Linked DNA regions of Danio rerio. The protein of the gene in region 2 purifies or fractionates together with the protein of the main gene of each other region. This does not show direct contact. Links are inferred from orthologs where the notes say so. Each region holds a gene or a part of one and is shown on either strand. Other genes may lie near its edges.

Region 1 (17,113 bases), on a different chromosome or scaffold from region 2:
TCATAAGTGTCTTTCAGACAGAGGTTCAGCAGTATTTCACTATTTGTTCTCTTTAAAAGGGAAATATTTTGCTAATAGCTTAGATTTACATTAGACAATTACATTTTGTTTTTTATTCGTATTTTTTTATTAATTAATTAATGTAATTATTTATTCATTGTTCTGTCATTTATTTTCACTGTAAAAGTATTACTTATGTTGAAATGCCAAAAACTTTTCACTTATTTTTAAGTCAAAAAAGAGAAATTAACTATTTCTTTTTAAAATGTATTTATTGTTTTGTGCTGTATTAATTGGTTACTGAGCAGCAATAAATAACACTTTAAAATTTAAAGAGTTTTCACATGATTTTCTAAACTAGTAGTGTTTTAAAAATAAATGAATGCCTAATATTTATGATAACCGTGAAGCCATGATTATTTTTCAGACTTTAATCGTACAAACAAAATCTAAAATCAGTGCATCGATAGACAAAAGTTGTTTTGTGGTATTTATTTGGTGTTGTTTAAAGAACTGCATGAAAATAATCCTTTATTCATCAATAATATAAGCCTGTAAATATTATTAGTGTGAAAAGAAACAGAAGTTGTTGCCCTGTTGCGTTCATTTTACCTAGAAACTGCAGTTAAATGTATGTTAATATAAATAAGTTTTTTTTTGTTTAACAAAAATGTAGGCTGAAGCACAACCTTTTTTCAACACATTTCTAAACATATGAATTTTAATAGCTAATTTCTAATAACTGATCTCTTTTATATTTGCCATGATGACAGTACATAATATTTCACTAGATATTTTTCAGGACACGAGTATTCCACTTAAATTGCGATTTAAAGGCCTAACTAGGTTAATTAGTTTGATTAGTTAATCCAGGGTAATTAGGCAAGTCATTGTTTTTTTTCGGTAGACCAGTGGTTCCCAAGGGGGGTTTCACAGGACAATGAGGGAGGGTCGCTTGGCAATTTCCAAAAATCTAATTCCTTTTATTAAACTATTAGAATTAGCATATTTATCCATAACCTATTGAAGAACAAAATAGTAGTTAATAGTAACATTGTTAAAATGTTAATGATAACTATTAAAAAACAACATGCAAATAAAAAGCCATCAGCCTTTCTATCTTTTTTTTTGCAACCCATAGGGTGATTACGTTATATTAAAGACAATATATTAAATATATATATTAAAGCAATAGCGCCAGATGCAGCACATTCATTTTATAGCACCAGGTTAAACTTTCTGAGCACTCACATACATTAAAAATATAATCAGGCTACAAGTGGAAAAAACTGGGAAAAAGTTCTTGTCAAAAATAAAAATTAATTTTTTTTTCTGCATGAATACTATACAGATCGAGAAAACCAATACCAGAACTTGACTGTTTTAAGCTTTTAAGAACTGACTGTTCATTCATCTACATTAGTGGCAGCTATTCTGTTTCTTGCCTGTTCAGCATGGATTGCCATCACTTCTTTATTAAAGCTCGAAGAAAGAGAATGTGATGTACTGAATATACGCGCGTGTGTGTCTGTTTGACAAACGATGGATTAATAAAGCAGCTAATCAAAAATAACAACCACACAGACTGGGAAGTATAAGAAAGATGTTCTTGTCTATTGCATTTGTGTCATCAGCACTTCTATGCTTAGGAAAAGGAAGATAAAATGAAGAAGTGCTGACCAATTTATTAAACACCCACATGTGTGCAGTTAGGACAACTCACAGGCATGTCTGCATAGAAGTAATGCTTCCTATCGAACAGTGACTTCTTGTTTATGGTGCAGTTGAGAGCAAGGCCTGTTAATACAGCAGCCTCCACACATCTTCTGTTCAGCACCTTAGGAAATGTAGTGGTAAGACATAGAACAACCTCTATAAATGCAAAAATACATTATACAGTGCATTCGGAAATTATTGATAGCACTTCACTTTTCCCACATATTTCTATGTTACAGCCTTATTACAAAATTGATTCATTTAATTTATTTCCTTAAAATTCTACACACAATACCCCATAATGACAATGTGAAAAAAGTTTTTTTTTAAATTGTTGCAAATTTATTAAAAATAAAAACCTGAAAAATCTCAAGGATATAAGTATTCACAGCCTTTGTCGTAAAGCTTTAAATTGAGCTCAGGCACATTCTGTTTCCACTGATCATTAATTAATTAATTGGAGTTCACCTGTGGTAAATTCAGTTGATTGGACATGATTGGAAAAGGCATACACCTCTCTATATAAGGTCCCAGGGTTGACGGTGCATGTCAAAGCACAAACCAAGCATGAAGACAAAGGAATTGTCTGTAGACCTCCGAGACAAGATTGTCCCGAGGCACAAGGCTGTGGAAGGTTACAGAAAGTTTTTGCTGCTCTGAAAGTTCCAATAAGCACAGTGGTCTCTATCATCCGTAAGTGGAAGATGTTTGTAACCACAAGGACTCTTCCTAGAGCTGGCCAGCCATCTAAGCTGTGTGATCGGGGGAGAAGGTCCTTAAACAGAAAGGTGATCAATAACTCGATGGTCACTCTGTCTGAGCTCCAGCGCTCTTCTGTGAAGAGAGGAGAACCTTACAGTAGGACAACCATCTGTGCAGCAATCCACCAATCAGGTCTGTACGGTAGAGTGGCCAGATGGACACCACAGCCACCTGGAAGCCACCAAAAAATCTTTGGTCTGATGAAATTGACTAAAATTGAACTCTTTGGAGTGAATGCCAGGCGTTACGTTTGGAGAAAACCAAGCACCGCTCATCACCAGGCTAATACCATGCCTACTGTAAAGCATGGTGGTGGTGTTTTTCAGCAGCAGGAACTAGAAGACTAGTTAGGATAGAGGGCAAGAGGAATTCAGCAATGTAAAGACATCCTGAATGAAAACTTGCTTCAGAGTGCTCTTGACCTCAGACTGCGGCGATGGTTAATCTTCCAGCAGGACAATGACCCAAAGCATACCACCAAAATATCAATGGAGTGGCTTCACAACAACTTGGTGAATGTCCTTGAGTGGCCCAGCCAGAGCCCAGACCTAAATCCTATTGAACATCTGTGGAGAGATCTAAAAATGACTGTACACCTGTCACTGTTGTGGTTGGGAAAAAGGAGCGTGGACTCAATTGCAGAAAATGATATGGGTTTTATTAATGATAAAATACAAATAAAACAAAAAGGCTAAACAAACTACCCCGAGGGGGAAAACATTACTATAACACAAACAAACTTGGCTGGGCTGGCAAGACAAGACTGGAGCAGGAGCAGGAACACAGCGGGAGTATAGAAGACAAACTGGCACAGGACAGCAGACATGAGGAGAATATAAACAGAAGCAAATTAACACAAACAGATGAACATAATTAACTAATAATGGGTTAACAAGGAGGGTGGGATTAGACAATAGACGGGAGAGCACATGACACAGAGACAACACAAGCCATGTGCTCACATAAAACAGGACAAGAACAAACAGCCAATGAGAGAACTCATTAACCACGCGTTCACAATAACAGGACAAGACTGAAGCACGTGGTCACAATGTAAACACAGAGCCATGTGCTTAGACGCAAGACACGAGCACACGATAGATGAACACCTTACCGTGCGCTCACACATATGTCTCATCTCAGCGTCAACCAAAACCGAAACCAACTAGACAAAGATGCTGAGAATGAAACAGCACGATGCCGACAGAACAAAACACAAACACGAGTACAAGAGCGCGCGTCCGAGGCACGCAGAGCTTCGACACCTCCGACGGTGTGTACACACAGAGACACACGCACAACGACAGAAACAGGACAAGACAGAGCTAGTGTCCGGACTCTGCCACCAAAACAAGAATTTACAAGACCAGAGTGGCAGAACCCTGACAACACCGTCACTTCCCATCCAACCTGAAAGAGCTTGAGTGGTTCTGCAATGGGCAAAAATTCTCAAAGACAGGTGTGCCAAGCTTGTGGCATCAAATTCAAAAAAACTTGTGGCTGTAATTGCTGCTAAAGGTGCATTAACAAAGTATTAAGCAAAGGCTGTGAATACTTCTATACAGTACATGTAATTATTCAGTTTTTATTTTTAATAAAACTGCAACAATTAAAAAAAAATCACATTGTCATTATAGGGTATTGTGTGTAGAATGTTAAGAAAATAAATGAATTTAATCCATTTTAGTAGAAGGCTGTAACATTAAAAATGTGGAAAAAGTGAAGCGCTATGAACACTTTCCAGATGCACTGTATATACAAACAAATATGTTTATTTTATTGATTCACTTACTGGCAGTGTCCCTGGTAATGAAGCATCAAAATGAGAGACAAGTGAGTTTGGTGGATCAGAGAAACTAACATGAGATCCAGAAAAGAGCTTTGATTTGGAGTGAATCTGAGCATGGATTTCTAGACCCACAACACCGACCATCTGAGGAAGACTAGAAAACATAGAAAAATTAATGATGAGGAGGTCAAACCTGAAAGTTTCTTTCATAATTAAGGCATTTCGAGAATATTATAAAATGATTAAATAAATTATAAAGCTAAATGCTGGTTTCATAAGGATTTAATTTTGGTGAGACCAGGGGCAAGATTCACTAAAACCTTCAACAGAGGTACGTTAAGAAATATATTAAGGCAAGTAAGGCAAGGCAAGTTTATTTATATAGCACATTTCATACACAGTGGCAATTCAAAGTGCTTTACATAAACAGGAATAAAAAAGACAAGTTTATTAACATAAAATGCAGACAATAAAAATTATTAAAAACAGATAAAAACAAATTAAAATGAGTTAAAATAGGTTATAAAAGAATGAAAAAGAAAACGAAAAACATAATAGTGTGATCTGTCGGACGCAGCACAGTGCTCATTCAGTAAAAGCACAGCTAAACAGATGTGTTTTCAGTCTTGATTTGAATGTGCCTAATGTTGGAGCACATCTAATCATTTCTGGAAGCTGATTCCAGCAGTGAGGAACATAGTGACTGAAGGCAGATTCACCCTGCTTTGACTGAACTCTTGGAACTTCTAGTTTATATGATCCTAAAGATCTGAGTCATCTGTTAGGTTTGTATTCAGTGAGCATATCTGTAATGTATTGAGGTCCTTGGCCATTTAGTGATTTATAGACCAGTAATAATACTTTAAAATCTATTCTGAATGTAACTGGCAGCCAGTGTAGAGACCTGAGGACAGGTGTGATGTGCTCTGATTTCCTGCTTCTGGTCAGAATTCTGGCTGCAGCATTCTGGATGAGCTGCAAGTGTCTGACTGTCTTTTTGGGAAGGCCAGTGAGGAGTCCATTACAGTAATCCACCCTGCTACTGATAAAAGCATGAACAAGTTTCTCTAAGTCTTCACTAGAAACAAAGCATCTGATTCTTGCAATATTTTTCAGATGATAGTATGCTGATTTACTGACTGCTTTGACATGACTGTTGAAACTCAGATCTGACTCCAGAGTCACACCAAGATTCTTGACCTTATTTTTTGTCGTTTGACCTTTAGAGCCAAGGCACGCATTCACCTTGAGAACCTCATCTCTGTTCCCAAACGCAATGACTTCAGTTTTCTCTTTGTTTAACTGAAGAAAATTTTGGCACATCCAATTTTTAATTTCACGTATTAAGATAAACTCTGAGGAGTTCTTAAGAATTTTCTTAAGCATAACTCTTGTAAAAAAAAAAAAAAAAAAAAACTCAAGTGGAAAAGTGGATTTCTTTCACATATGAATAACTTTAAAGTATAGTCTACAACAAATCATTATAGCTTATGTCTTAGCATCAAAATTAGCATCAACATCACAGTCAGGTTTTTGACATTAGCCATCAAAAGACAATTTATACACAGAAAAAAATGTAAACTACTCATCAAATTAGACATGTACGACAAGAAGAGAAGCAAATTGCATTGATGTTGTTGTTGTTGTCTCTTTTGGTCAGATGGCCTCTCAATTTAATGTCCCTAAAGCTAATTTTTTCAGATATTTACAAATTCAAGATTCTGTGCGCAAAAAATAATTGCTTCAGATCTGGACACCATACTGGGCATAGATCCCTGTGCTAAATGTTCAATTTCTAAATTATTTAATATAATTGTTAATCTGCAATTTTCTTCTGATAACTACTGGTCCATCTGGTCTCGAGACATTGGAGTTGACATTAACGAGCGACAAGGAAAGCGGTCTCGAACAGGGTTAATTCTTCCTCTGTGCACGGCACATGTCCATACAATACATGGTAGTGCATATAGCTCATTGGTCCAAGAGCAGGCTAGCTTGCATCAACCTGTCTATTGACCCTGAGTGCGACAGGTGTCATACTGGTTCAGCTACTCTTATCCATATGTTTTGGTCCTGTCCTTTACTCTTGTTGTCTGCTATTACCACTGTTCAAATTCCACCTTGTCCAATTATTGGTTTATTTCGGGTTATCCTACCCGGGCACACTTTACCCTCTCATTTGCTAGAGTTTGTAGCCTTCTTAACCCTTCTGGCTAGGCAATTATTCATCTAAACTATTTTCATTAAACTGTGAGAACCCCTTCGCAAAAAATGGCCAAACTCTTCAGCTTAACCCCTTTCTTTCTGATTGAGTCCACACCCCCTACTCCCATATATACATGTATATAAAATAAATTACTGGACTGCACGTGTGTTATCAGACTGTGTGTACAGTACATCCACACTTGATTACTGACCTTGACTTTTTGTGTGCCTTGTTAATGTACATTATACTGTGTCATTAATACCACAATTGCTGGCTAATAATGTGCTTGTTGAAAAAAATATTTAAAGCTTTATCTGCCTTAAAACAAAATATATGATTATATTCCTTTAAATGAAATTTATCACAGTTCGTTAATAAAAGTACATTCAAATATATTTAAAGGGCAGAATGGCAATGTTAGTTTGCAGTCTTTTATTCTTTATATATATATATATATATATATATATATATATATATATATATATATATATATATATATATATATATATACATATAAAGAATAAAAGCTGGCTGGGTAAATGCTTGCTGTGTACTTATATATAAGTACCCAGCTAGCAAAGTTCACAGTTCACGGAATATACTTTATTCTTTATATATATATATATATATATATATATATATATATATATATATATATATATATATATATATATATATATATATATATATATATATATTATAAAAGACGGCAAACTAACAATGACATTCTTCCCTTTAAATATTAGAATGTACTTTTATCAACGAACTGTGATAAATTTATTTAATCATTTAAATTCATCCATCATTTAAATTCATCCATCATTTAAATTCATTCATCATTTATTTAATAATTTAAAGGAATATAATCATATATTTTGTTTTAAGGCACATAAAGCTTTACATATTTTTTCAACAAGCACATTAGCCAGCAATTGTGGCATTAATGACACAGTAACATGTACATTAACAGGGCACACAAAAAGTCAAGGTCAGTATTAAAGTGTGGATGTACTGTACACACAGTCTGATAACACACGTGCAGTCCAGTGATTTATTTTATCAGAGCCGAGAAAGACTGCTTACATACGGGTCACATTGGAGTGATTGTCCTACCTACAGAGCACTTTGCAGGACACTTGATGCCTACCTTTCAGTCTGTGTATTTAGCTGATGTTGATGTTTGCATCCGGTTGTCCATGTTGTCCTTATTATGAAGTTAGAATTACCAATATGGCATAAACTTTGTGATTTATTAGCATATTTCCTCAGCCTGAAGAGTACACCGCTGTATCCTGAAGTGGAGGCTGCCATGCTTGTGTTTATGTGAGGGCAGCTGGGACATGTAGTTTTACGGAGCATTCAGAAACTCGCAACTCTGCTGCTGAATGATAAGGAAAAAACTCAACTCCCACAATGCCACAAGCGCAACGGCGGAGTTTCCGGCGGTTACTTATGACGGCATTCACGATCCGCGAATACATAACTGAGGGGCAGCTGGTGGCGGGAGATTCACGCACGGTACTGCACGTGAACGATCAGTTTTTGGCACTTCTATATCGTCAGAACTTTTTATTTCAATAACAATGGCACTGCAGCACAACGGCACCGCTTCCAAACTGGCCAAACACAACGGCGAAACTAGCGATCATCACCCCTCTACAAACGGAAAGGAAGAAGCCGAGCACGAACACGCTGATCGGTTCACTTTCACCTCCGAACCAACACTTGAAGACATCCGCCGCATGCAGGCTGAGTTCACGGACGAGAGGAACTGGAACCAGTTTCACCAGCCGCGGAACCTGCTTCTGGCTCTGGTAGGAGAGGTCGGCGAGGTGTCGGAGCTATTCCAGTGGCGTGGGGAGGTGGCGGAGGGTCTACCTGACTGGACCGAACCGGAGCGGGAGCATCTGGCCCAGGAACTCAGCGACGTTTTGATCTATCTGGTTGAACTGGCCGAGAAATGCCACGTTGATTTACCTCGAGCTGTCCTGCGCAAAATGGCATTAAACCGACTCAAGTACCCAGCTAGCAAAGTTCACGGATCAGCTAAGAAATACACTGAATACAAGGACTGATGTGGATGATGTATTTTAGACAAAGACGATCGTTACTGAATAGTTTATAACAGATGGAGCTGATACCGAGTTCCTTAAAACCCCCCTAAAATCACCGTGCTCCTAAAGGTCCTAGTTTTCTTCGTTTAATCTACAGGTGGACACTCTACTCTGTTTTAGGTTGATCTTTTAAAAATCTGAATGCAAGAAACTTGTTTGCACATTTTCCTACTGTAAGCAGCTAAAGTTTTATAGTTGTTTTCTTTTATTTTCCAAATTATTTTACCAAAGCTGTTCTGGACAACGTTACTTTGTACTGTGTAGTGTTTTTGCATGACAGTAAAGTGTTTTGCAACACACATGGTCTGTTTGCAGATATTTACTCTGGAAACTGGAATGTTTTTGTTATAACAGCTAGATACGTTGGCTCTCTAAGTGTTCAGTGTTTTGGATGTGCATGAACCCTTAACAGTATAGCATCTTAATATATGGTCCCTCAAGATGCTTCCTATTCTGGCAGAAGATTTGAACCTGCACTCAAGTCTATATATATATATATATATATATATATATATATATATATATATATATATATATATATATATATATATATATAAACTGCATGTGCGATTATGATCAGGATTGCAGTTAAACTTTATTCTAACAATCTGTCTTTATTGATTAAACTGTTTCCGCAAAGACATGTCATCGGTTATGTGGTTGGTAATAAAAAAAAAAAAACACTTTAAAGGAGGAAATCTCTGTACCAGTAGTGCATTTGTATGCAATTTAATTTGGCCTCAGCATTAAAGTTAGGCAGAGCTCCCAAAGTACTGCTAGAACAGCTTTTTTTTTAATTAAAAAAAAATATATATATATATATTTTTTTTTTTTTGAAAGTTAGTAATATTTTCATTCCTTTTCTTTTCTGGGGTTTTTACAGTGGAATGAACACCAACCTTATCCAGCGTATGTTTTACACAGCAGATGCCCTTCCAGCTGTAACCCATCACTGGACAACAAAAACATCCATACACACACACACACACACTGCTAACAATTTAGCTTACCAAATTCACCTATAGCGCATGTCTTTGGACTTTGGGGGGAAATGGAGCACCAGGTGGAAACCCACACCAACACAGGGAGAACAAGCAAACTTCATACAGAAACACCAACTGACCCAGCCAAGACTCGAACCAGCAGCCTTTTTGCTGTGAGGCGAACGTGCTACCCACTGTGCCACCGTGCAGCCTAGTAATATATTTTAACTTGGGTAAATGTTTTTTAAAAGATCCAATTTCCTGTCAAAAAAGTTTGTATAGTAATTTTTATTTTTTATGTCTTTTATAGTTAAAACCAAATAAGCCAACACAATTTTGTGTAAGAACAAATATTTTGTGAAAGTACACATTTAAGAGATATTCAGAAATGCATTTCTTAATACTGAATATATTAGTTCATAATGACTGTTACCTTGTTGTCCACTTGCATACTTCACTTACACAATCACAACTAATGCAGTACTGTGCTTATTATGTAACCTGAAAGTTAGCATGACTTGTTGCCTCAACAAAAGCTGAATAGGACTTTGCCTTTTGTGTTATGGCAGAATGACTAAACCTTTTGTTCAATATGATAATCTGCACTGCTTTTAGTAACTGTAAACCAGGGGTGTCCAAACTGAGTCCTGGAGGGCTGGTGACCTGCTGAGTTTAGCTCAAACTTGCTTCAACACACCTGCCTGGAAGAATAGTATATCTAGTAAGAGCTTGATTAGCTGCTTCAGATGTGTTCGATTGGGGTTTGAGCTAAACTCTCCAGGACACTGGCCCTCCAGGACCGAGATTGAACACCCCCTGGACTAAATAATGTGGAGTAAAAAGCTAAAATTAGGCTACACAATGTAATGTTTCACAATAAATATCTGTTTTCTGTACAATAATTTGTACAATAAACAAACAAAAAAAAATCTTCATAAAACTGCGGGGATCAGGGACCTGTAAAGCAAGAGTTGTATTTTAAATTAGCATATAGGAGATAATGCAACATCAACCTGTAAAAATAGTTTACCAAACAGCACATGGCTCCATATTTCATCACAGTGTTGCATTGACCCTTTTTATTCAGTGTTTCACATGTGAAAGGTTAACAAGTGCTGATTACATGAAGCAGCCTGAAGTTGGTATATCGGTTATCAGCTAATTATCGACTAGCTAATCTGTTTTCGCTAGTGAACTCCTGATTGAAATAATTTGAAAGTTGACAATTTACTCGCCCTTAATTGGTTCCAAACGTTTGAGTTTTTTTTTTTTAATTTCTGTTGAACGCTAGCAAAGATATTTTGAAGAAAGTTAGAAACCTGTAAACATTGACTTTTTTTAAGCAGGAAAAGCATATACTATGAAAGCCAATGGTTATTGTCGATTTAAAACATTTTCCTGTTTTTAAAAAATAAATAATAAAGTAAATAATGCCAGAATTCTCTATTTTAGATGAACTACTACTTTAACCCTACACTTCTTTCATATTTTAGTATTTTGGTTCAAATTGGGTCACTCTTAACCTGTTGTTGAGAACAAAACATGTCAACATTCATATGGAAGCTAAAATCCATCATGACAGCTCTCACTGGTTACTTTGGGAAAAGATGGATATGGAACTCTAACTAGCAAAGTTAAGTTCTGGACACATAATTAAAACGGCTCAATAGTAGATGTTTGGTCTCCTGAGCTGAGTGTCACATTATTAAGATGCTCATGCACTCAGGAGCAACATTAAGATTGAAGACTGTTAGATGAACCATTTGACAAAGGCAAAGCTGGCCATTGTGGCACAGATGATTTCGGTGCATGTATAGCATATTCAAGTTCATCATTAGATTATTTAAATGTTCATTTTCATAATTAATTTTTTTTCCCAGAGCCTTTTCTTTACAGAACTGCATTTTCTCACTGCCCTGTTACTGATCACACATCAGAGCAGGGTGTGATCAATAGATTTGATCTTCTTCCAGCTCTCTGCTGCCGGTCGAAGAGGGCAATCATCAGCATTCCATTCTGACTGGATTTAAAAGATTCATCTGTTTTATCAGATGAGCAGACTGTTAGATAAGCCCTCAGCAAATGAAGCTGTTTTTATTGCAGTTTCAAAGCAACAACAGCATAATCCAAATGATGCTAAGAACTTGCATCTCCCAGACACCGTTGATCTATTGTGTGTATCTCTCTCTCTATGGGTCCACCATGGTGGGGGGCAGAGTGAGCTGTCAGCATCTTGCACCATAGGGGACGCAGTACTGCTGCTTTCTCCCTCGCTCTGTGATTTTTCATGCCACTCAGACTTTAGTAGCCAGACAGTGATTTTCCCAGCATCTGTTTTTCATTTGATGTCATTCAGAGCTGACTATGGAAGGCCTGCCACAGTCTTTGTCACTCTTTCAGTTCTGTACACAAATGTCAAAATCCAACATGCTCTTTCTTCTCTCTTGACAGCTGAAAGCATTCTCAGAATTAAAAATCTTGAAATAGTGCTTTTAAAAAGCTTATTTTGGCCTATTCTTAAGAGTTGATAGGCGTTTTTCCAAATCCACAATAACCGGTTTCTTTGAATGGGGCTATTTTCTTTTGAGTCGTATCATCAAGTCTTATTTATTCCCTGAAAGAGAAGTCCACAGGGAATGAAAACACCAACTTCTCTTGCCCTTTTCACAGGCTTCTCATTTCATCCCATTTCTCCTAATTTCCCCTAATTACACTCATTCTAACGGAGATACCACAAAACAGACTGATTTTTGATAAGATTTGTATTTGTTATTTGTATTCAGTTCACCACAAGACATATAAACATGGAATTCCTCTGAAATTTGACTGAAATGTCAAGATTACAATAGTGCTATTCAGAATTGCATATAAAAAAGAGGTCAAATTTAGAGGGCCACAGCAGCAGAATATAATATACTGTAAGACAGAAACAATTGTCTGGTTTTGAATCCATTTATTCTTTTTTTTTCATGGATACAACAACCTTACTCTATTTCACTAGTAAGGAACCAACAAACTGTGCCAGAGGACTAAACTCCCATAAAGAGACAATCTATCAATATGTACACTCATCGGCCACTTTATTAGGTACTCCTTACTAGTACCAGGTTGACCCCCTTTTGCCTTCAGAACTGCCTTAATCCTTTGTGACATAGATTTAAAAAGGTACTGGAAATAATCCTCTGAGAATTTGGTTCATATTGACATGATAGCATCACACAGTTGCTGCAAATTTGTTCGACTGCACATCCAAGATGTGAATCTCTCGATTCCATTCCACCACATCCCAAAGATGCTCTATTGGATTGAGATCTGTTGAATGTGGAAGCCATTTGAGGACAATGATGATGGGTACACTGTGGTCATAAATGGATGGACATGGTCAGCAATAATACTCGGGTAGGCTGTGGTGTTGACGCAATGCTCAATTGGTACCAATGGGCCCAAAGTGTGCCAAGAAAATATCCCGCACACGATTACACCACCACCACAAGCCTGAACTGTTGATACAAGGCAAGATGGATCCATGCTGTCATGTTGTTGACACCAAATTCTGGCCCTACCATCTAAATGTTGCAGCAGAAATCGAGAGTCATCAGACCAGGCAACGTTTTTCCAATCTTCTATTGTCCAATTTTGGTGAGCCCGTGCGAATTATAGCCTCAGTTTTCTGTTCTTAGCTGACAGGAGTGTGGTCTTCTGCTGCTGTAGCCCTCAAGGATGGACGTGTTGTGCATTCAGAAATGCTCTTCTGCATACCTCGGTTGTAACGAGTATTTGAGTTACTGTTGCCTTTCTGTCAGCTCAAACCAGTCTAGCCTTTCTCTTTCCTCTGGGATCAACAGGCATTTGCGTCCACAGAACTGCCGCTCAGTGGATATTTTCTCTTTTTCGGACCATTCTCTGCAAACCCTAGAGATGGTTGTATGTGAAAATCCCAGTATATCAGCAGTTTCTGAAATACATCTGTCACCAATAAACATGCCACATTCAAAGTCACCTAAATACCCTTTCTTCCCCATTCTGATGCTTGGTTTGAACTGTAGCAGATCATCTTGACCATGTCTACATGCCTAAATGCATTGACTTGCTGCCATGTGATTGGCTGATTAGAAATTTGCATTAACCAGCAGTTGGAAAGGTGTTTCTAGTCAAGCCCTGTACAGTTTTAAAGAACCCTTTTTTATTAGTAAGTTCATTCACTTCGCTATATATATATATATAAAAAAAACATACTTAAACAGCACTTTGTGTAAACAATTTTTTTTTTTTTTCTATCCGCTTGTTAAGTGTGATGTCCCGCAAAGCGGCTTCTGGGTCTAAGCGCTCTATCAAACTGTATGGGGAGACTCAACAAATGTTAATAATAAACTTTTACAAAGCGAAAAAAAAAAAAAAATAAAAAAATAATATATATATATATATATATATATATATATATATATATATATATATATATATATATATATATATATATATATCCCTAATATCCGATGGCCTGCAAGTGATACATTTTTTATAAATTGTTAAAATATTTGTTTTTGTGATGCAGCAAGCCCGGAGATTGATGTGTACACTATGCTGTTATATAAAATTCACTTTAATGTGTAGTAGGAATAAAAATTGGAAATAAACGAATATTTTCTTAATCACGATTTTCATCAATTCAAATGAGTAGCGGCTTGGACCCAGAAACAGTATTCCATACATCACGACTTAACAAACGGATTGTATTAAAAATTTTTGTTTTGCACCAATAAACAGGTTGTAATTTCAAGAAAGCCACAATATTGTAAAATCTAACAGAAAAACTTGACTCTAGATTGAACTTCAAACTTTAATTGTCTTTAATATATATATATATATATATATATATATATATATATATATATATATATATATATATATATATATATATATATATTTTTTTTTTTATTTTTATTTTTTTTTGTCAGCTAACTGCTTATTATATTCAGCTCCATGCCTCCTTTCGGATCCAAACTAATCCCCCTGCAGCTCTGAATCTGTTGTTCTGAGGTGTCGTCCGTATAGATCCAACAGAACAACCTTTTCCCACAGGATGAAAATGAAAGGCAAGAGTGCACTTTGTAACATCCAGTCAGTCAAATCAAAGCGTTGTACTGTGGAGATGGAACAGCCCTGTATGGGGAAAGAGCAGTTAGTGAATTTCTCACAATGACACTAAAGTGGCACACGTTCCCAGAGCAATAACATCAGCACATTTTCAGTAATGGCTCTGATGACTTCAGTCTCAATATAAGTGGACCAAAGCATGGGGCAAACGCAACTCAGATTCCATCACTTATTTCTCACAAATCCATCAAAGGTGTGTAAGAACAGGATCAAAGATGAAGTAAAAGTGTACTACACAGCAACAATTTAATTAGAGATTATAGTAATATTTACAGAGTCCCTGTTTCAAAATATCTATCTATCTATCTATCTATCTATCTATCTATCTATCTATCTATCTATCTATCTATCTATCTATCTATCTATCTATCTATCTATCTATCTATCTATCTATCTATCTATCTATCTATCTATCTATCTATCTATCTATCTATCTATCTATCTATCTATCTCAATTCATTTTGAGCAAGAGACTGGCTTTTGCAGGTTCTCCATGGTGTTTTGCTATTTTTATGTGTTGTTTTGCAAAATTTCAATTCTGATCTGAGAATTGTATACCAAAGCGATTGAGAAAAACTCTAATTTAAGATATTTCACTCTGGAAATAGTTTTATGGTTAAAACTAATAAATAAATAAATAAATAAATAAATAAATAAATAAATAAATAAATAAATAAATAAATAAATAAATAAATAAATAAATAAATAAATAAATAAATAAATAAATAAAATAAAATAAATGATAATAAAACATTTATAAAATTGAGGAAAAAACCTTGTCAAAGTTCTTAATAAAATAATTTTAACAATATCAACAAAACCTTTCATTCAAAACCATTTTAAAGACAATTTCAAGTTTTTTAAAAAGAAAAAACTGTCATGTTTTTAGTATTAATTTTACAATTTAATTGTAAAGCACTTTATGCATTTTCTTGGGAGGTGCTCTAGAAACAAACATTACTTGTGCGTTTTAGTTTCCTTCTAAAACAAAATTATGTTACTCAATCATTTGCTGTTTATTTATTATTTTCTACTCATTTACTTTGACTTAATTACCAACCAAATCTGCTTTTTTCTTATTTTCTCATGTTTCCATCTATCTATATACTATAAGTTTAAATTAGAATTTAATAACAGATTCTAATTATTCATACTTTTGAGTGATGCACACAGAGAGTGTCTTTTTATCTAGCTGTTGCTGCTGTAGCTCTGTAGTTTCCCTCTCAGGATGAAAGACTCCAACTGACGTCTCTCTTGAGAGGGCGGCAGACCATAATGGCAATCTTGTATTCAAGATAGTTGTTGCCATGTAGGATTGTTGCTATGGAAGAGATTCCAATTGACTTGCTGTACTAGCAATCAGAACGGACCACCGGTTGCCTGAAAGTTGCCACTAGAGGGCATTTTTCACATGCGGTGCATTGCTTGGAATATATGACTGAAATGAATCAAGTTTGAGTTTGTGATACATGTAGATTCATGTAAACGCAATTAGTTTGGAGATATTTTCTTGGCTTGTGTGATTATTACATTTATACATTAAGAGACTTATTTGAATACACAAACAGAGTCATTTACATTGCATTTACATTAAATTTATGCATTTAAAAGATGCTTTTATTCAAAGTGACTTTCAAGTGAGGGATACAACAAGCGATTTGCCATAAAGAGGTAAAATGAAATACAAAGTTTCAACGATTTTTAGATAATAAAAGCCAGAATAGGGAGTTTTTTTATTTTCAAATGATTCTATAATGTTCATGTTCCCGACTACTAGCAGTTCAAACTTGTCCTCTCTAGAGGGCATATGCAAACTTGAATATCTCCCACCTCCTGCTGTAAAGATGGCATTTAGGACTTATAGAGGTGGGGTTAAGCAACATTTTTTTCCTCCTTAGAAAATTATGCCATCTATCACCACAAGTATATGGGAAAATGAAAAGTAAGTGCCTAATAATTTTTATTGAGCAATTTGTTTTCTTGACATGTTGACATTTGTTTATGAATCTTCAAAAGATTGATTAACTTTGTAATGTATTGCAATATTATATTTTATTTACTTTATTGCCACTATAAGTTTATTACCTTTTCTCAATTCTTTCTATTGAGCAGGAAGGCATTCACTGCTAGAGGCGAAATAATATATGTAAATTTTTGATGAAAAGTGAGAATTTTGAGATTGTGTACAAAGCACATGCATCAAGGTGTCGTAAATCTGGTTTTAAAAACAAAACTCATGTGATGTCTACTGAGTGATAGCAAATCCATTGTGTTTAAAAGATCCTTTCAGAAATATTATTGATCATAAATCAGAAAAAAATCTAAGTTTCAATGTGCTACATTAACATTTGCTACAGATGAACAAATTTGTCATATATCTAATTTGCAA
Region 2 (17,344 bases):
ATGCCGGGGTTAAACCCCTACTCTTTTCAAAGGATTTTCCTGGGATTTTTACCAACCACAGAGAGTCAGGACCTCGGTTAAACGTCTCATCTGAAAGACGGCGCTCACTAAGCAGTAAAGCGTCCCCGTCACTATACTGGGGTATTAAGATCCACACAGACTGCAGGTTGGGCGCCCCCTGTTGGCCTCACTAACACCACTTCCAGCAGCAACCTAGCTTTCCCATGTGGTCTCCCATCCAGGTACTGACCGGGCGCAGCCCTGCTTAGCTTCAGTGGGCGACCATGTGAGAGTTGCAGAGAGCTAGCTGCCGGCGATTATGAGACAATCAAAAGCTTTTAAAAGCTCCTCCCTTTACATGCTTGCCCACACTGGAGGATTTAGAAAAATACAAAAAAAGTCTTGTAAAATACAAAAATAACGATAATGCAAGGCTGTTGCCTAATTTAATCAGTGGATCTTAAATAAAAGCATGTACAGTCTCATGTGTTTTTTTTTATGTAAAAAAAAGAAAACACATTTTATATAAGTCATGAAAGTGGGAAATTGGCACGTCTCGTATAACTTTGTGTGTGAGCAAATGCACTGTAATGAACTTTGCTGAACTGCAGCCAATCCAAATCACTGAGAAATGCAGCTTTAGGACCCCACTGAATTTTGGGCCTGCTGGACAAAACCCCCAATCACCATTGCTCTATCTAACATAATCAACAACTACAGGACACAAAACCTTCGTGCCAAAAGTCCTGCAACAGAACATTCAAACATCCATTCTGAATTTCAGCTGCGCCGTTTACTTCTCCGCTTGAATGATTGACTTTAAACTACAATGGCAGTGTTCCCGTTTTTGACACATAACAGACACAAGCAGAGATTTTAAATTTGTTTTTTGCATTTTATAACAAAAACTACATATGTCATGATATTGCCGTTAGTGTTCAGGTCAGTTTTAGCTTTTTGCTAAATGTGTTGCTTCGCTTTTTAATTTAGTTTTTAAGCTTAAATGAAAAGAGAAACTCTGAAACTGTTCGCCGTTTACCTGGATTCAGGTCAGCTGCTTGCCCTGTCATGATGGGGTCCTGCAGCTGATAGGTGGAGACTGAACCTGTGCCATCCAATGAGCTGTTAGATGTCATATAGGAGCCGTAGGAGGAGGTGGAGTAATACTGAGCATACTGATTCTGCCCAAAAGTTGTATAAGAGGGATATTCCTGCTACAGACAAGCAAAAAAAAAAAAAAAAAAAAAAAAAAAAAAAACGATTAGAACAATAACAATCATTTAAATGCATAGAAATATTCATTCATTATGTTCATTCATTATCATCACTGGGGATTTGGTAATTTATTCCATTCACTTTTGTTCAAAATTTTGAATATACAGCAATATATAGGTTCAATGGCTATTCATACAAAACTGATACCATGAATGCATTTTGTTAATTATCACTTAACTTAATAATGTAGGGACATTTTGTCTTGAAAATAACAACTTAAAAAGACTTGTACTTTACCTACAGTGCATCCTGAGAGTATTCATAGGGCTTCACTTATTCCACATATTTTTAATGTTAAAGCCTTTTCCAAAATGGATTTAATTAATTGATTTCCTCAAATTCTACACACAATACCCCATAATGAAATTTTTTTGAATGTTTTTAGATGAAAAATAACATGTACATAAGTATTCACTGCCTTTGCCGTGAAGCTGGGGAAGGTTACAGAAACATTGCTGCTCTGAAAGTTCCAATGAGCACAGTGGCCTCCATCATTCGTAAGTGGAAAATGTTTGGAACCACCAAGATTCTTCCCAGAGCTGGCCGGACATCTAAGCTAAGTGATCGGGGGAGAAGGGCCTTAGTCAGTGAGGTGAGGAATAACCCGATGATCACTCCGACAGAGCTCCAGCGTTCTTCTGTCTTCTGTGGAGAGTGGAGAGAGGAGAACCTTACAGAAGCACAACCATCTGTGCAGGTATCCACCAATCAGGCCAGTATGGTAGATATGGTAGTATGGTAGAGAAGAAAGCCACTCCCTGCCTGGAATTTGCCAAAAGGCATCAGAAGGACTCTCAGACCATAAGAAACAAAATTCTCTGGTCTGATGAGACTAAAATTGAACTCTTTGGAGTGAATGCCAAGCATTACATTTGGAAAAAACCAAGCAGCGCTCATCACCAGGCTAATGCTATCCCTACAGTGAAGCATGGTGGTGTCAGCATCATGCTGTGGGGATGTTTTTCAGCAGCAGGAACTGGAAGACTAGTTAGGATAGAGGGAAAGATGAATGCAGCAATTTACAGAGACATCCTCAATGAAAACCTGCTTCAGACTGCTCTTGACTTCAGACTGGGGCGACGGTTCATCTTTCTGCAGAACAATGACCCAAAGCACACCACCAAAATATCAATGGAGTGGCTTCACAACAACTCGATGAATGTCCTTGTGTGGCCCAGCCAGAGCCCAGACCTAAATCCTATTGAATAGCTCTGAAGAGATCTGTAAATGGCTGTACACCGTCCTTGTCCATTCAACCTAATAGAGCTTGAGTAGTGCTGCAAAGAGGAATGGACAAAAGTTCTCGAAGACAGGTGTGCCAAGCTTGTAGCATCATATTCAAAAAGACTTGTGGCCACAATTGCTGCCAAAGGTGGGTCAACAAAGTATTTAGCAAAGGCTGTGATAACTTATGTGATTACCTACATTAAATGTAATGTAATGTGATTTTTCAGGTTTTTCATTTTTAATAAATTTGCAACGATTAAAAAAAATCTTTATTCACATTGTCATTGTGGGGTGTTGTGTGTAGAATTTTGAGGAAATAAATTAATTTAGTTCATTTTGGAATAAGGCTGTAACATAAAACAATGTGGAAAATGTAAAGCGCTATGAATACTTTCAGGATGCACTGTATATATTTTAGGGTTTCAATTATCATCAAATAATTCAACAATAAGTCAAATTTTCACCTTATTCTTGTGTTTATCTACTAAGTTAGCATATAAAAAAAGTTAAGCTGAACGCATAAAGCACGGATTGAAAAACTCTGGAAAGAAGGCATTGAAGGATGTTATTTATTATTCTCTCATTAATTTGTACAAAACGTTTCAGTTACACAGAGAGTAGATCAATTATTTGTCAACGCTGTCGCTGTGATATTTTAGTGAATTTCATTAACAAGCATAAAATTCTGTTTTAGATATGTGGTATCTGGTTTGAGGTTAGGATCTTGAGTTAAAGCACAAAATGTTGGAAAATCTCAACACGCCTACTGTCAACTCACTTGGTGGTTTAAACAATTTTACAGTAAATTAAAGAACAACTATTGACAGAATCAAATCAGAATCAAAACGTTTAAGCATTTTGCCATTTTGCATAAAATATTCAGTTTAGTATACATTTCACATTTGTTGTATTGTCATTTCAGTTTAGGAAAAATGAATGAAAAATGCTTAAAATGTATATTTATTATACATAAACTGATTCGTTGCAACCTTTTACATATTTGGATGTTCATAAGTTGCTCATAATTATTTAATTGTTTAAATGATACTCAAAGGCCTTCAATAGGCTTTTAATGTCAAATTAGTGATATAGCATGATAGGAACATTGCCATAAGTGAAGTTTGATATACTAATTTCGAGAGGAGAATGTGATATGATTGATCACGGCTGGTCTCTCATCTGCAATCATTAATAAACAAACAGATTAATCCAAACCTACAATAAATAACCCATTTCACGTCACTTCCTTTATCATCCACCCCATTTCCCCCTTTCCTCCTTTCTCAGGGGGAGCTCTCGAGAACTACCGAGCTCAGGGTTCTCTCCTGGGACAGCATGCTATACCTGCTATTAGTATCAAGCAATATCTAAGTGTAAACTCTTGAAAAGGTCAATGTGCGCTCAGTGGACTAAAGCAATCATTCATAAGTTTTTGTAGCCAATTTACTGTGAATGAAATAAACACCACAGTTTGACATCTAGCTTTATAATTTAGCATAACGCGAAATGTATATAGGTTTTCTCTTTATCTTGAATAAAAAAGAAAGAGAGGGAGTTGATAATCGGGGGAACGATAAAGGGAGAGGAGACAAGGCAACAGGACTGGAACATACAGATTTCTGGCTCCTCCACACAGAGCTTTTTATCACTCCCTGACTCCTCTTGTATCTTTGAGCGAGAGAGTTTTACATGTGGATCTCTTACGGGAGGCAACTCTAAAGCTGTCACTGACTCACTCGCTCAAGAACACGAACGGCGCAGTAAAACGCTCTCCGAGAAACTCCACTACTGCGTTCACTCTCATTTCATCCTAATTCCGCTTACTCCTTCATTTCAACCATCGCCAGAGCCTTGCTTTGTTTACACAGCTAAATTCATCAGTGGGAGTCAGAGTGTAGCTGGGTCCTTTTCTTTGGCAGCACTTTTAATCATAAAAGTTTAGGGAAACATTAAGTCCTAAAAGCATCAATTCTCTTGCATGAAGGATGGTGACCTGTTCTCTGAGGCCTAGGTTGTTTTGTAAGGCTGGTCCGGTGCTGAACTCTGACGTTATTGGTGTTTGTGTGCGTTCATCTGTGCATGTGCAGTTGTACCTGTTGTGTGGTGAAATTTCCTGGGTTGGAGTTGTTGGAAGTGTAGAGACCAGGAGAGGTTGTAAAACCTGAACCTGCTGAGAGAAAGATAGAAAATACAAATGACAGCATTTAAATGAATGCAAGTTGTGAAAGAGACTTGCAGCAGGCATCACCAAAAGCAAAACATCAAAATAGATAAATTATAGATCTTTTATTACAACTTACAAGTTTCTTTGTACAGCGATTTTTAACAATAACTGTAGTTTCAAAGCAGCTTTACAAAAGGTGCAAAATACTTACAATCAAATTAAGTTAAAGATACAAACAAAAATAAGTTATTATATACAGGCAAAGTTAACCTGTAATTTTGTAGCATACACAGTTGAAGTCAGAATTATTAGCCCTCCTTTAAATTTTTTTTGTTTGTTTTTAAATGTTTCCCAAATGCAAGAGCAGAAAAACAGAGCAAGGAAACTTTCACAGTATGTCTGAAAATATTTTTTCTTCTGGAGAAAGTTTTATTTGATTTATTTTGGCTGGAATAAAAGCAGTTTTTAATTTTTTAAAACATTTTAAGGTCTACAATATATGCCCCTTTAAGCTATATATTTTTTGATAGTCTACAGAACATTCATTCATTCATTTTCTTTTCGGCTTAGTCCCTTTCTTCATCCGGGGTCGCCACAGCGGAATAAACCACCAACTTATCCAGCTTGTTTTTACGCAGCGGATACCCTTTTAGCTGCAACCCATCCCTGGGAAACATTCACACACACTCACACTCATACACTATGGACAATTTAGCCTACCCAATTCACCTGTACCGCATGTCTTTGGACTGTGCATAGGGGAAACAGGAGCACCCGGAGGAAACCCACACAAACGCAGGGAGAACATGCAAACTCCACACAGAAACGGCAACTGACCCAGCCAAGGCTCGAACCAGCGACCTTCTTGCTGTGAGAGACAGCACTACCTACTGCGCCACTGCGTCGCCCAGTCTACAGAACGAACCATCGTTATACAATAACATGCCTAATTAAGCTATTATGTCATTTTAAGCTGTATAGAAGTGTCTTGAAAAATATCTAGTCAAATATTATTTACTGTCATCATGGCAAAGATAAAATAAATCAGTTATTAGAAACGAGTTAATAAAACTATTATGTTTGGAAATGTGTTGAGAAAATCTTCTCTCGGTTAAACAGAAATTAGAGAAAAAAATCAACAGGGGGGCTAATAATTCTGACTTCAACTGTACACTCACCGACCACTTTATTACGTACACCTGTCCAACTGCATTAACGCAAATTTCTAATAAGCCAATCACATGGCAGCAACTCAATGCATTTAGCCATGTAGACATGGTCAAGATGATCTGCTGCAGTTCAAACCGACCATCTGAATGAGGAAGAAAAGTGATTTAAGTGGCCTTGAACATGACATGGTTGTTGGTGCCAGACAGGCTGGTTTAAGTATTTCAGAAACTGCTGATCTACTGGAATTTTTACGCACAACCATCTCCAATGTTTACAGAGAATGGAACAAAAAAGAGAAAACATCCAGTGAGCAGCAATTTTGTGGGGGCAAACGCCTTGTTGATGCAAGAGGTCATAAGAGAATGGCCAGACTGATTCGAGCTGATAGAAAGGCAACACTAAATCAAATAGCTACTCGTTACAACCGAAGTATGCAGAAAAGCATCTCTGAATGCACAACAGGCCCAACCTTGAGGCAGATGGGCTACAGCAGCAGAAGACAACACCATGTGGCACTCTTGTCAGTTAAGAACAAGAAACTGAGGCTACAATTCAAATAGGCTGTGTGACCATGTCCATCCTTTTATGACCACCGTGTGCCCATCTTCTGAAGGTAACTTCCAGCAGGATAACGCACAATGTTATAAAGCGTGAATCATCTCAGTCTGATTTCTTGAACATGACAATGAGTTCACCGTACTCAAATGGCCTCCATAGTAACAGAGTTTAATTCAATAGAGCACCTTAGGGATGTGATAGAACGGTAGAATCACATCATGGATGTGCAGCCAACAAATCTGCAGCAACTGCATGATGCTATCATGTCAATATGGACCAAAATCTCAGAGGAATATTTCCAGTACCTTGTTGAATCTATGCCATGAAGGATTAAGGCAGTTCTGAAGGCAAAAGGGGGTCCAACTCGGTATTAGTAAGGTTAACTTAATAAAGTGACTGCCTGGTTATTTTAGGTGATGTCTATGAGTACATGTTTAATAAAGTGCATTTGTGTATTAAGTGTTTGTCTTGTCCTCGAAGTCCCCAATTTGTTTCTTCAATGCAAAATTTGTTGGTTGGTTTCTTGATTAATTGACCCACAGCCAAGTCTCAAAACATTCAAGCATCAAAGAGCATCAAATAATGCAACTTAATACCATAATAGTTGCTTATAATGCATGGTTATTATGTTGTTCTGAAGATGTAATGGTTTGTGAAAAACAGATTTTTCATTGATAATTACCAGTTTTGTTTTAATTCTTTTAATATACTTTTAGTTTCTATTAGCATTTTTTATGTTCAGTTTTCATTCCAGTTTTTCTCTTTAGCAGTTTTAGTTATGTGCTTTTGTCATTTATTATTAGCTTTCTTTCAAATAATTACATTGATTTATGCTATCATTTTTTGCTTCATTTTTTCCAAGGCAACATTTCTATTTTCTTTTTTACAATATCCAACTAATATATTTATTTTACATTCATTATAATTAACAAATTTTTATTAGTTTAGTTTATGATAATATCCCAGATAAGCACAACCAGAAAAAATAGAGCAAATGGCATAAAATCTTAATTAGATCAAATGGTTTAAAATGGTTTAAAATTAACTTTAGCATTGTACATAACCCAATCTGATGTTTTATTTATTACTCAGATTTTACAAAAAATAGTTCCTTTTATTGTATAATGCATAATGATTGTTTAGCAATGTCTACTATAATGTGCCTGACAAAATATTACATGTATAAATGCAAATAATGATAACAATGGCCTTTTTTAGGTGAGCTGCACCATTAAAAACATCAAATTCATGTAAAAAATGCACAACACACATTTTTGATTATTATTGTCTTCTTATTAGCACAAGGAGTAGGCTTATTTTGACAATAATTTTCCTTAAAAAAGGAATATTGTGTTCTTAATGGTCATTTTTGTAGCATAGCCATATAATATGTATACCTGGCATCTGATAGGGGGAGTAGGCTGTCTGTCCGGGCTGAGGGGTGGTAAATCCAGGACTGTAGCTGAGCCCTGACTGCAGGGTTGATTGGGTCTGTGTAAGCCCTCCTTCTGTCTTTATCCCTGGCAACATCACCCCCAAATCTGTAGCTCAAGATCAAGAGAGTGGACCTGTCAATCAAACTGCACACTAAAAGTCCTTTTGCATGATTCTACATCAACATTTACATGAAGTACAATAAATTCTAAGCCTTATTATCGCAATTGCAGAGTCATAAATATGTACAAAAAAATGCATGTACAAACATGAACAATTTAAAAATATATCTCTTAAAATTGATTTGATTGGTTTATTGAAGTAAAAAATAAAAATAAAAAATCGGCACACTGCCACTTCAGCTCTCAAAAGAGAATTTTAATATTAAAATGAAATATTATTATTGGTTTATTCAGAGTTTCTCTAGAGATGTATAAATAGATAAGCCTTTGAGCAATATATATATATATATATATTTTTGGTCATTCTGTAAACTTCTGATGACATTTCTTCCAAATGTAAAATAGAAATGTAACTTTTTACATAAAAAGATCAATCGTATAACTAAATAAATAAAGAAAATTATAAAAAATTAATCACACCTTTTTTTAAAGATTAAACAAATATTAACATTTTACTCAAACTCATCAGTATCTACTGTAGTGAATCCGGATAAACAGTGAAGTGGTCTCTAAATTTTTTTATACAGTATAAAAACAATGGTAAAAACCTACCATAGGTGGAGAGGCCGTAGGGTGGAGTCGTTTGCGAATAGGGCGTGTAAACTGTTGACTGCTGCATGCTGCTGAACTGTGATTGGCCTGTGTAGGCTGACATGGGCGGAGCCACAGGGGTAGTGAGGATGTGAGGGTAAGGCCTGCCAATCAAACACAATCATAACATTTATTTCATTAGATCAAGGATTGCAACCATGTTGACAAAGTGCCATTATTAATTTGGCTGGTTCATAACTCTGATGAGCCATAGAGAAAATGGTTTTAGTGTTATCAATCTAAATTATTCATAAACATGTCTCACTTTGAAGGGTAGAGAGGAGGTGAATACTGGTGTGCCGGCCGGGGACTGAATCCACTGCTGCTTATGACTATACAAACGTAAAGAAAATTTTAAAAAAATTAGCTGGAGAGACTAAATCATTTTTACATGCACAATGGCAAACACACACCTAAACAATGGGATGTATCCGCAGTCAGGACTGTACGTCAGTTGTCGTTGAACTGAATGTGTAATTTATTGCACATCACAACCATAAAATAAAATGTGTGCTGGACTTCTTCCAATTGAAGGGAATTTGCCAAGAGTCTTCAGTTCAAATTCAAACACACACACATACACACTGTTTTGATTGACAGTTCACAGCCTTTTTCAGCAGCTGGATTTAATTTAACAAACAGCAGAAAAAAATAACAGGAACTATTCTCTCGAAAACCTTCTACTACATCAAAGAGTATCCTGGTTCCTCTTGCTACCTTCTTTTTCTCTTCTCTCTCCTTGAGCCCTTCCTTCGATAAAACGTTCCCCAATTCCACTATTCCATCTATTTTAATCAATGCTGCTTCTTATTTTTCAATAAAATGTCTGAATGGTATTTTTCTAAATTAAAAAATATGACTTTTTATGACTATGACTTTATTAATTGTTTATCTTTGGCTTCAATTTATCAACTTATCTTTGGCTTCACCACATAATTACATCAACATTCACATCACATATCACCAGTTCTGGGAAAGTTACAGTACTTGAAAAATGTAGTGAGCTGAGCTATTAGCTAGTCTACTTAAAATGTAGCTTAACTACACTAAGCTACCCTCTAGGAAATGTAGCAAGCTAAGCAAAAAGTTACTTGGCAAAAGTAACTTAGCTACATCTATGCTTTTTTTTCCATAAGTGATCAATAAAACTGTTAATGAAACATATGAGGCAGAATTATTTAGTTCAATTACCTATGGCAAATAATATGCTGTACTAAATAGAAACAAATCATAGTATATAACAGCAAAAAAATAAAAAATAAAAAACAAATCCAACAAAACCAGGTGTTACACATTTAAAACACTATAGTAATTTGTAGTAAAGGGAAATATTTAGGAACAAGCACTATATTGTATATATATTTACAACTCTTCATTAATGAATAACACTAACGTTACATAATATACTGTCATTAGTAACTATCATGAACTAATAGTAATTACCATAGAATACTTTAGCCTTTACAACTTATTGTACTTCACTATTGTCTAGTTCAAAAACATTATAGTACTTACTATAAATTACTAAAGTATTTTTTGAGCACAGCATCTGAATTAACATTGCTGCATCTTAACATTTACTGCTTGAGGCATGGTCACGAGGAATCCTGCTTCAGAAATAACTGTTCTCATGATTTTTATATATATATTTTTTTACTAAATTAACACACTAATTTTGGTTCGTGCAACACATTTCAGTAAAACATTTACCACTTTGTAATGTTCCCATTCCTCTTCACAACACTTAAAAGACATTTAGAGACTGAAGACACCAAGTGATGAAGTGTTTCAGGTGTAATATTGTTCCATTCTTCCTGCAAACAAGCCTTAAGGTGGGAAACAGTACAGGATCTTTGTTTTCGCATTTTGCAGTTTAAAAGGTGCCACACATTCTCTATTGGAAACAAGTCGGGACTGCAGGCAGGTCAGTCAAGTACTTGCTTCCTCTTCCTCTGCAGCCAGGAGTTTTAATGTGTGCAGAATGTGTATTTGCATTGTCTTGCAAATAACCGATATATTAGCTGATAAATATAAATATTTCAAAATGTTTGTACAGTGAACAATTGATTTTATTTAAAAAACTTCATAAAAGTTTGAACAGATCTTGAAAAAAGCATATTCAAAGCAAAAAAAAGCAATAATTTCAAAATTGCAAGGTGATTGACTGTTGCATAAAAATAATAGGTTAAAAAACAAAACGTGAGGCAGGCAATTCTGTACAATGACATCATTTATTGTGCTTAAAAATATCAGCGTAGTTTTGACATCGGACCGACAATGATAACATTAAAAATAGCATTTACCGGCCGATAACCATATAGCCACCGATTTATCGTGCATCTCTAAAAAATAGATATATTCATTATATTCTCAGAGTACCTATCTTATAAAGTTGATGTTTTCTTAAGATAAGATATTTTTACTGAAAATAAGACAAACACACACATTTTCCACACTGCATATAACCGAATATCGTCTTCTCTATAGAGACATCAAAATCCCCTGTCAGCCTCAGCCTTCTCTGCAGGGGTGCGCATGTACAGAGGCTTTCTCAGTCTTTGAGTGTGTGTGCGTGTGTATGTGTGAGTGTGTGAGCACATTGATCTAAATAAAGAGTTTGTGGCTCTGATGACGTTAGCTCAAGGGCAGTACAAAGATTGAGGGCTCAGAGCTTTCACCAAGTTCCCAAGCGGGATTATAGGAGGCATTCTGAATTCAGCATGCGTGTGTGTGTGTGTTTGTGTGTCTTACCTGACCCAGTGTAAGTGTCCAGCCCAGAGTCTCCTGCTGAACTCACGGCTTCACTGCTGTTCAGAGGCTCAGACTTAACTTTAAAAAGAGAGACCAAAAAAACATATAAGGCATCCTGTCAGCTGCTCTCAAACCTCTCTAAACTGAATAAAAACTAAAAACTAAAAAAAAAAAAAATAATAAAAACTTTGAAAGTAGTGTGAAAAAATGAAAGAAGAATAAAAGCACTGCACCCAAACTCTCACACACGTGCTGTCATATAAGACACTCCACAAACACATGCAGTATACCATCATTCTTCATACTTGGGGCAGTGGGCGGGGAACTGCAGCCCAGCAGCCAATCAGCCGTGTTTAGAATTGTCATGTTCTCTCCTGGGGGGCGGAGTCAAATGTATAGTGGACTGTATTATCCAGTTAGTTGTAAATATTAGGAATTTAGCACTTACAGTTACCTTTAAACTATTTAGACATGTAATTAGATTGCAATTATCTGAAATATTAAACAGAAAAAATATATACAACACAATACACAAAATATGTTGCAATAAGTTAGCATTAATCTTAATAAATTATTCATTCATTCATTCATTCATCCATTCATTCATTTTCTTTAAGTTTATTCCCTTTGTTCATCAGCGGTCGCCACAGTGGAATGAACAGACAACTCATCCAGCATATGTTTTACATAGCGGATGCCTTTCCAGCTACAATTCAGTACTGAGAAACACCCATACACACATTCACACGCACATATACATTACAGCAAATTTAGTTTATTTAATTCACCTATCCTGCATGTCTTTGGACTGTGGGGGAAACCAGAGCATCCTGAGGAAACCAATGCAAACATGAGGAGGACATGCAAACTCCGCACAGAAATGCCAACTGACCCAATCAGTGACCTTCTTGCTGTGAGGCTGACCACTGAGCCACCGTGTCGCCCATTATTAAATCACATTAATGAAATTTATAAATCATTAATATAAATAATACAGTCCTTTATTTTTATATCTATAACTGGTAACAATTTAGTTTAGGTCCCAATTCATGCTATTAACTTCTGGTTTATTATCTGCCTAGATAGCTAAAAAAGCTAGTAGCATTTGGTTAATGATTTGTTGATACCGTGAATTGTGACCCGAACTAAAGTGTTACCCTATTGGTTTATTTTAATATAGTAATTTTAATTTAAAACACACTTTTCAAGCATAGCCATAAAACATTTCTGTATTTCAAATGATAAAGAAATAGTGTCAAAAATAAAGACAAACAGTTTGTATTTTTGGTTGTCATGTATTAGTGCATAAATATTATCAATAGTTAATCGATATTTACTGTGATGAAACCACACCTGCTTAATCCTTTCTTAACTTCCATAGGAACTGAATTCTGAAAAAAAAAATTACTGGCTAATTTGTTTAAGAATAATTTTCAGAAAGTTATAGTTTTTTTTATGAAGAGTCGAAACATTTTAATAATAAGTATGATTAATATTTATTACAAAGAGATTATAATCATTATTTAAGAGTGAAAGGTTGAATCTGAACCATTGAACAATCAAAACACAGAATTCCTTCATTACACTACCTGACAAAATTCTTGCTGTCGATCTCAGTTGTAAGAGCAACAAATAATAACTTGACTTCAAGTTGATCATTTGGAAAAGTTGAAGGTCGATTTTTCTGATGAAATATCTATTGAACTGCGTCCCAATCACCACAAATACAGCAGAAGACCTATTGTATCCCGCATGGACCCAAGATTCTCACAGAAATCAGTCAAGCTTGGTGAAGGAAAAATCATGGTTCGGGGTTACATTCAGTATGGGGGCGTGCAAGAGATCTGCAGAGAGGATGACAACATCAACAGCCTGAGGTGCCATTACATTACAATCCACAGGAGAGGGCAAATTCTTTAGCAGGATAGCGCCCCTTCTCATAGTTCAGCCTCCACATCAAAGTTCCTGAAAGCAAAGAAGGTCAAGGTGCTCCAGAATTGGCCAGCCCAGTCTCCAGACAAAAACATTGTTGAGCATGTCTGGGGTAAGATGAAGGAGGAGGCCTTGAAGATGAATCCAAAGAATTTTGATGAACTCTGGGAGTCCTTACACTTTCTTTGCCATTCCAGATGACTTTATTAATGAGTTATTTGAGTCATTGCAGAGATGCACTGATGGAGTCGTCCAAGCTTGGGAGTCATACACAATGTTAACTCTTTTTCCACTGCACCATGACTTTATATTCTACACTGTACATTATTTCAGTTAAGTGACAAGACTTTTGTCTAAGCAAAGTCAGACCTTACTGTCCTAATTAAATAATCAAAAAATCAAGGCATGATCATATTGTATTTTGGTAAAATAAGCGTAATCTAGAGGCCTTTGCTTTTCATATAAGCCACTTCTGATACCAAATGATCAACTAGAAGTCAAGTTATTATTTGTTGTTCCTAGAATAGGTGACAAGGTAGTGTATAGTCTCAAAACCATTTGCCAACAGATCTATACCTCCTGGTGCCCTTAAAATAAGAAATATGTTCATACAAATAATAGAAGTTTTCCAAAACCATGTTTTAACATGCTGAGTTTATGACAGTTCTGTCAAAGGCACATTTGCAAAAAAAAACAAAAAAAACATCTCAATTCCAAAAAATGGAATTAACGTGTGTTTGTGCGGGAGAGAGCGAAAGTCCTCTAAAGTAAGATGAATGAGGCTTCACTGGCAGTGGGATTCATGTCAGGATGTGTGTGTGTGTGTGTGTGTGTCGTGGTGTGTCTGTGTGTGTGGGTGGTTGTGTGGGCGGTTTGCATGTTTGTGTGTGTGTGTGTGGAGGGATTCAGTCTAGGCTGTGAGCTGATGAGGTAGACAGAGGAGAATGTTGAATATGTCGTTGTTTTGGCAGAAGCACAATCCCTGTGCGTGTGTGTGTGTGTATAAATGTGTGTATGTATGTGTGTGTGTCAAGCTGTTAAAATCATTAGCTGAGCTCTAATCTAAATGATTTACTGAGTTCTGCTCTTTTTAGTCTCTCGCTCTTATGCTATTGTTTTATTCCGGCTACATGTCAAAAACAGATGAGCTCACACACACACACACACACACACACACACACACACACACACACACACACACACACACACACACACACACACACACACACACACACACTCTCGTTCTCTCTCTCCAGGGTCTCCAAACTTTACTACCTCTCTTGTGCGTCTCTTAGTCATAGCCATACATCAAACACTCGCTTGCCAGGGTGTTGAGAGTCTATTTAGCCTTGTGTATGTTTGCCTAACGTTCTCTCTTAAAACGTTTGTTCAGCGTTTTCCTCAAGGAGAGAAAAGCGAGCGAGCGTGTGTTGACATCAGAGAGAAAATGAGAGTTTAAACGCAGGAAATAGTTTTCTGTGCACCAGGCTCTTGCTGAAACACGCTGGGAAACCTTTCAGCACAAATGAACTTTTTTACATGCAGGCACTTTTCAGGCCTGTCCGCAGCGATTGACCATTTGAGCCCAGATCATCTTGACCCTAATCCACCAAACCGGCTCTGAACAGCACCAAAACCACAATGAACATGAAACACTTTTGTTCTTGCAGTCCAGGCATCACACACCAGGACTGACCCCTGCTTTCAATTATTGTAAAAACTGCAATATAATGAAAACAGAGTGAATGGAAACACAGCTGATTTCCTGAAAGAGCCTGTTTATCAGCTAATATTTCACTCACTCACTCATGTCTTACTCATGTCTGACTCATTTCTTTCTTTCTTTCTTTCTTTCTTTCTTTCTTTCTTTCTTTCTTTCTTTCTTTCTTTCTTTCTTTCTTTCTTTCTTTCTTTCTTTCTTTCGTTATTTGTCTTACCTCCGGTTCCATTGGTCGTGATGTTGTTGCTGAGGATGTTTTTGTCCAGTTTGGAAGTGCCGTCACTGCCACTGTTAACAGAGTGCTGGACATCTGTAAGTTCCTGCATCTCCAAAGCCCTGCAACATAAAAAGTAGGCACAGTTAAAGTCAGAATTATTAGTCCCGCTGTTTATTTTTTTCCTCAATTTCTGTTTAACGGAGACAAGATTTTCTCAACACATTTCTAAACATAATAGTTTTAATAACTCATTTCTCATAACTGATTTATTTTATCTTTGCCATGATGACAGTAAATAATATTTGACTAGAGGTTTTTTAAGACACTTCTATACAGCTTAAAGTGACATTTAAAGGCTTAACTAGGTTAATTAGGTTAACTAGGCAGGATGATAGGATAATTAGACAAGTAGTTGTATAACGAAGGTTTGTTCTGTAGACTAACAAAAAAAAAAAATAGCTTAAAGAGGCTAATAATGTTGACCTTAAAATGTTTCTAAAACAATTAAAAACTGCTTTTTTTCTAGCCGAAATGAAACAAATAGGACTTTCTAAAGAAAAAAAATATTATTGGACATACTGTGAAATTTTCCTTAATCTGTTAAACATCATTTGGGAATTATTTAAAAAAAGAAAAAAATTCAAATGGGGCGAATAATTCTGATTTCAACTGTCAATTGGAAGTACATATTTTTCGAAAGAAACAGTAAGACTGTCACTATAGACCAAAATACAGTAAAACTATAATGCTGTGAAATGTAAAATTATGGTTTAAAACTAGTGTTTTATGATTTAACATGTTTTAAAATTAGTGCTGTCAAATTATTACATTTTTTATTTAATTAATCACATGATGATAATCACATATCAAACCACACAAAATTACAAATGAACCAAAACCACCATTTTGATTACTTTGTTTACAACAAAAATTAACAATTAATTAATTTACTTATTCATTAATTCTAGTAAATGCTATTTTTCTAAAGGTGTGTGTTGCATTGCAAATATTTAGTGTGTTGAAAATACGTCATTCCGTGAACAAAAAAAGGCAATGCAAACCTTTAAAAATCTGTTGTCTGCTGAAATAAATGAAAGCGTTCAAGACTGCAGATATGCCTATTTGGTCAGGCTTACATTTGTTACTGAATGAATCAACCACTCCTTACACTCAAATTAGTGTCAGCTAAAGCGGTTTACAGGAAGACTTTTTTTTTTTTGCCTGATTCAATCCAATTACTAATAAGTTATTTTATTGTGTGTAAACATTAAGTTATTCGTCAAATAGATTTGTTCAAATAACAAACTAATTTAGTAACAAATGTAAGACTGTCCACATATTCACATCTGCAGGCTTGGCCACTTCAGAGTGTGTGAACAACAGGAAGTGCCCGAATCTGTCCCAGGTCTTATAAAGTGCAGTGTCCTTAATATACATTAAATCCACACTAAGTTAAACATATACCATTATTAATCATGTTCAGGAACTCGTGACAGTGGAAACATTCCACTGTAAATTAAATTAAATGGACATTACACATAATGAGGTAGTAAAATAAAGTGCTGTACATTTTATTTACAGTTATGTGGAGGTGTTATTGCTATTATTGGCATTGGGAAAACTGAATAAAACTGGCAAAACTGTGATTAATATACAACACAATACTGCGGTGTTTTATATACACACTCAGAAATAAAGGTACAAAATCTGTCACCTTTTCAAAAGGGTACACTTTTGTACCGTACAGATGAAAATAAGTACTTTTAAGGGAAAATTATTGTACCTTTAAGGTTTACTTTTGTACCTTTAAGAACCTGTTAGGAACAAAAATATACATTTTGAAGAGGTACCGCCCCAGTTACAGATTTTGTCCTTTTACTTCTGAAAGTGTATTAAACTTTTGTAAATAGTAACTTTCACATTTGCACCTGGGGTAATTGCTCTCTGCTTATATGATAGAGCTCATTTCAATATAGTAATATGAAAAAACAACTCATCCAGTTAATTATTCTACAATATCTATATAATTTTAAGGGCATTAAACTTAATTCCTTCAGTCTACAGTATTAAATGTCATTCAGAAGTCAGTCTAATCTGCTGATGTCTTTACTGTCACTTTTGAT

What was found.
Region 1: the proteins of eya4 (region 2) and dctpp1 purify together in Homo sapiens (affinity purification with mass spectrometry; 3 studies listed by BioGRID and IntAct, with this or other methods). This does not show direct contact. The link is inferred for Danio rerio from reciprocal best matches to the Homo sapiens genes EYA4 and DCTPP1.

What each region holds. Positions count from the first base shown.
Region 1 is NC_133176.1:26,144,662-26,161,774, forward strand, and holds dctpp1 (glutamyl-tRNA(Gln) amidotransferase subunit B, mitochondrial), read left to right. Parts: upstream 1-7,940; 5' UTR 7,941-8,056; coding exon 8,057-8,548; 3' UTR 8,549-9,277; downstream 9,278-17,113. UniProt on the Homo sapiens protein: Hydrolyzes deoxynucleoside triphosphates (dNTPs) to the corresponding nucleoside monophosphates. Has a strong preference for dCTP and its analogs including 5-iodo-dCTP and 5-methyl-dCTP for which it may even have a higher efficiency.
Region 2 is NC_133198.1:34,405,022-34,422,365, forward strand, and holds part of eya4 (eyes absent homolog 4), read right to left. Parts: intron 15,341-17,344; coding exon 15,222-15,340; intron 11,727-15,221; coding exon 11,643-11,726; intron 11,431-11,642; coding exon 11,353-11,430; intron 8,934-11,352; coding exon 8,867-8,933; intron 8,706-8,866; coding exon 8,563-8,705; intron 7,942-8,562; coding exon of another isoform or gene 7,936-7,941; coding exon 7,792-7,935; intron 4,673-7,791; coding exon of another isoform or gene 4,670-4,672; coding exon 4,596-4,669; intron 1,215-4,595; coding exon 1,040-1,214; intron 1-1,039. UniProt on the Homo sapiens protein: Tyrosine phosphatase that specifically dephosphorylates 'Tyr-142' of histone H2AX (H2AXY142ph). 'Tyr-142' phosphorylation of histone H2AX plays a central role in DNA repair and acts as a mark that distinguishes between apoptotic and repair responses to genotoxic stress.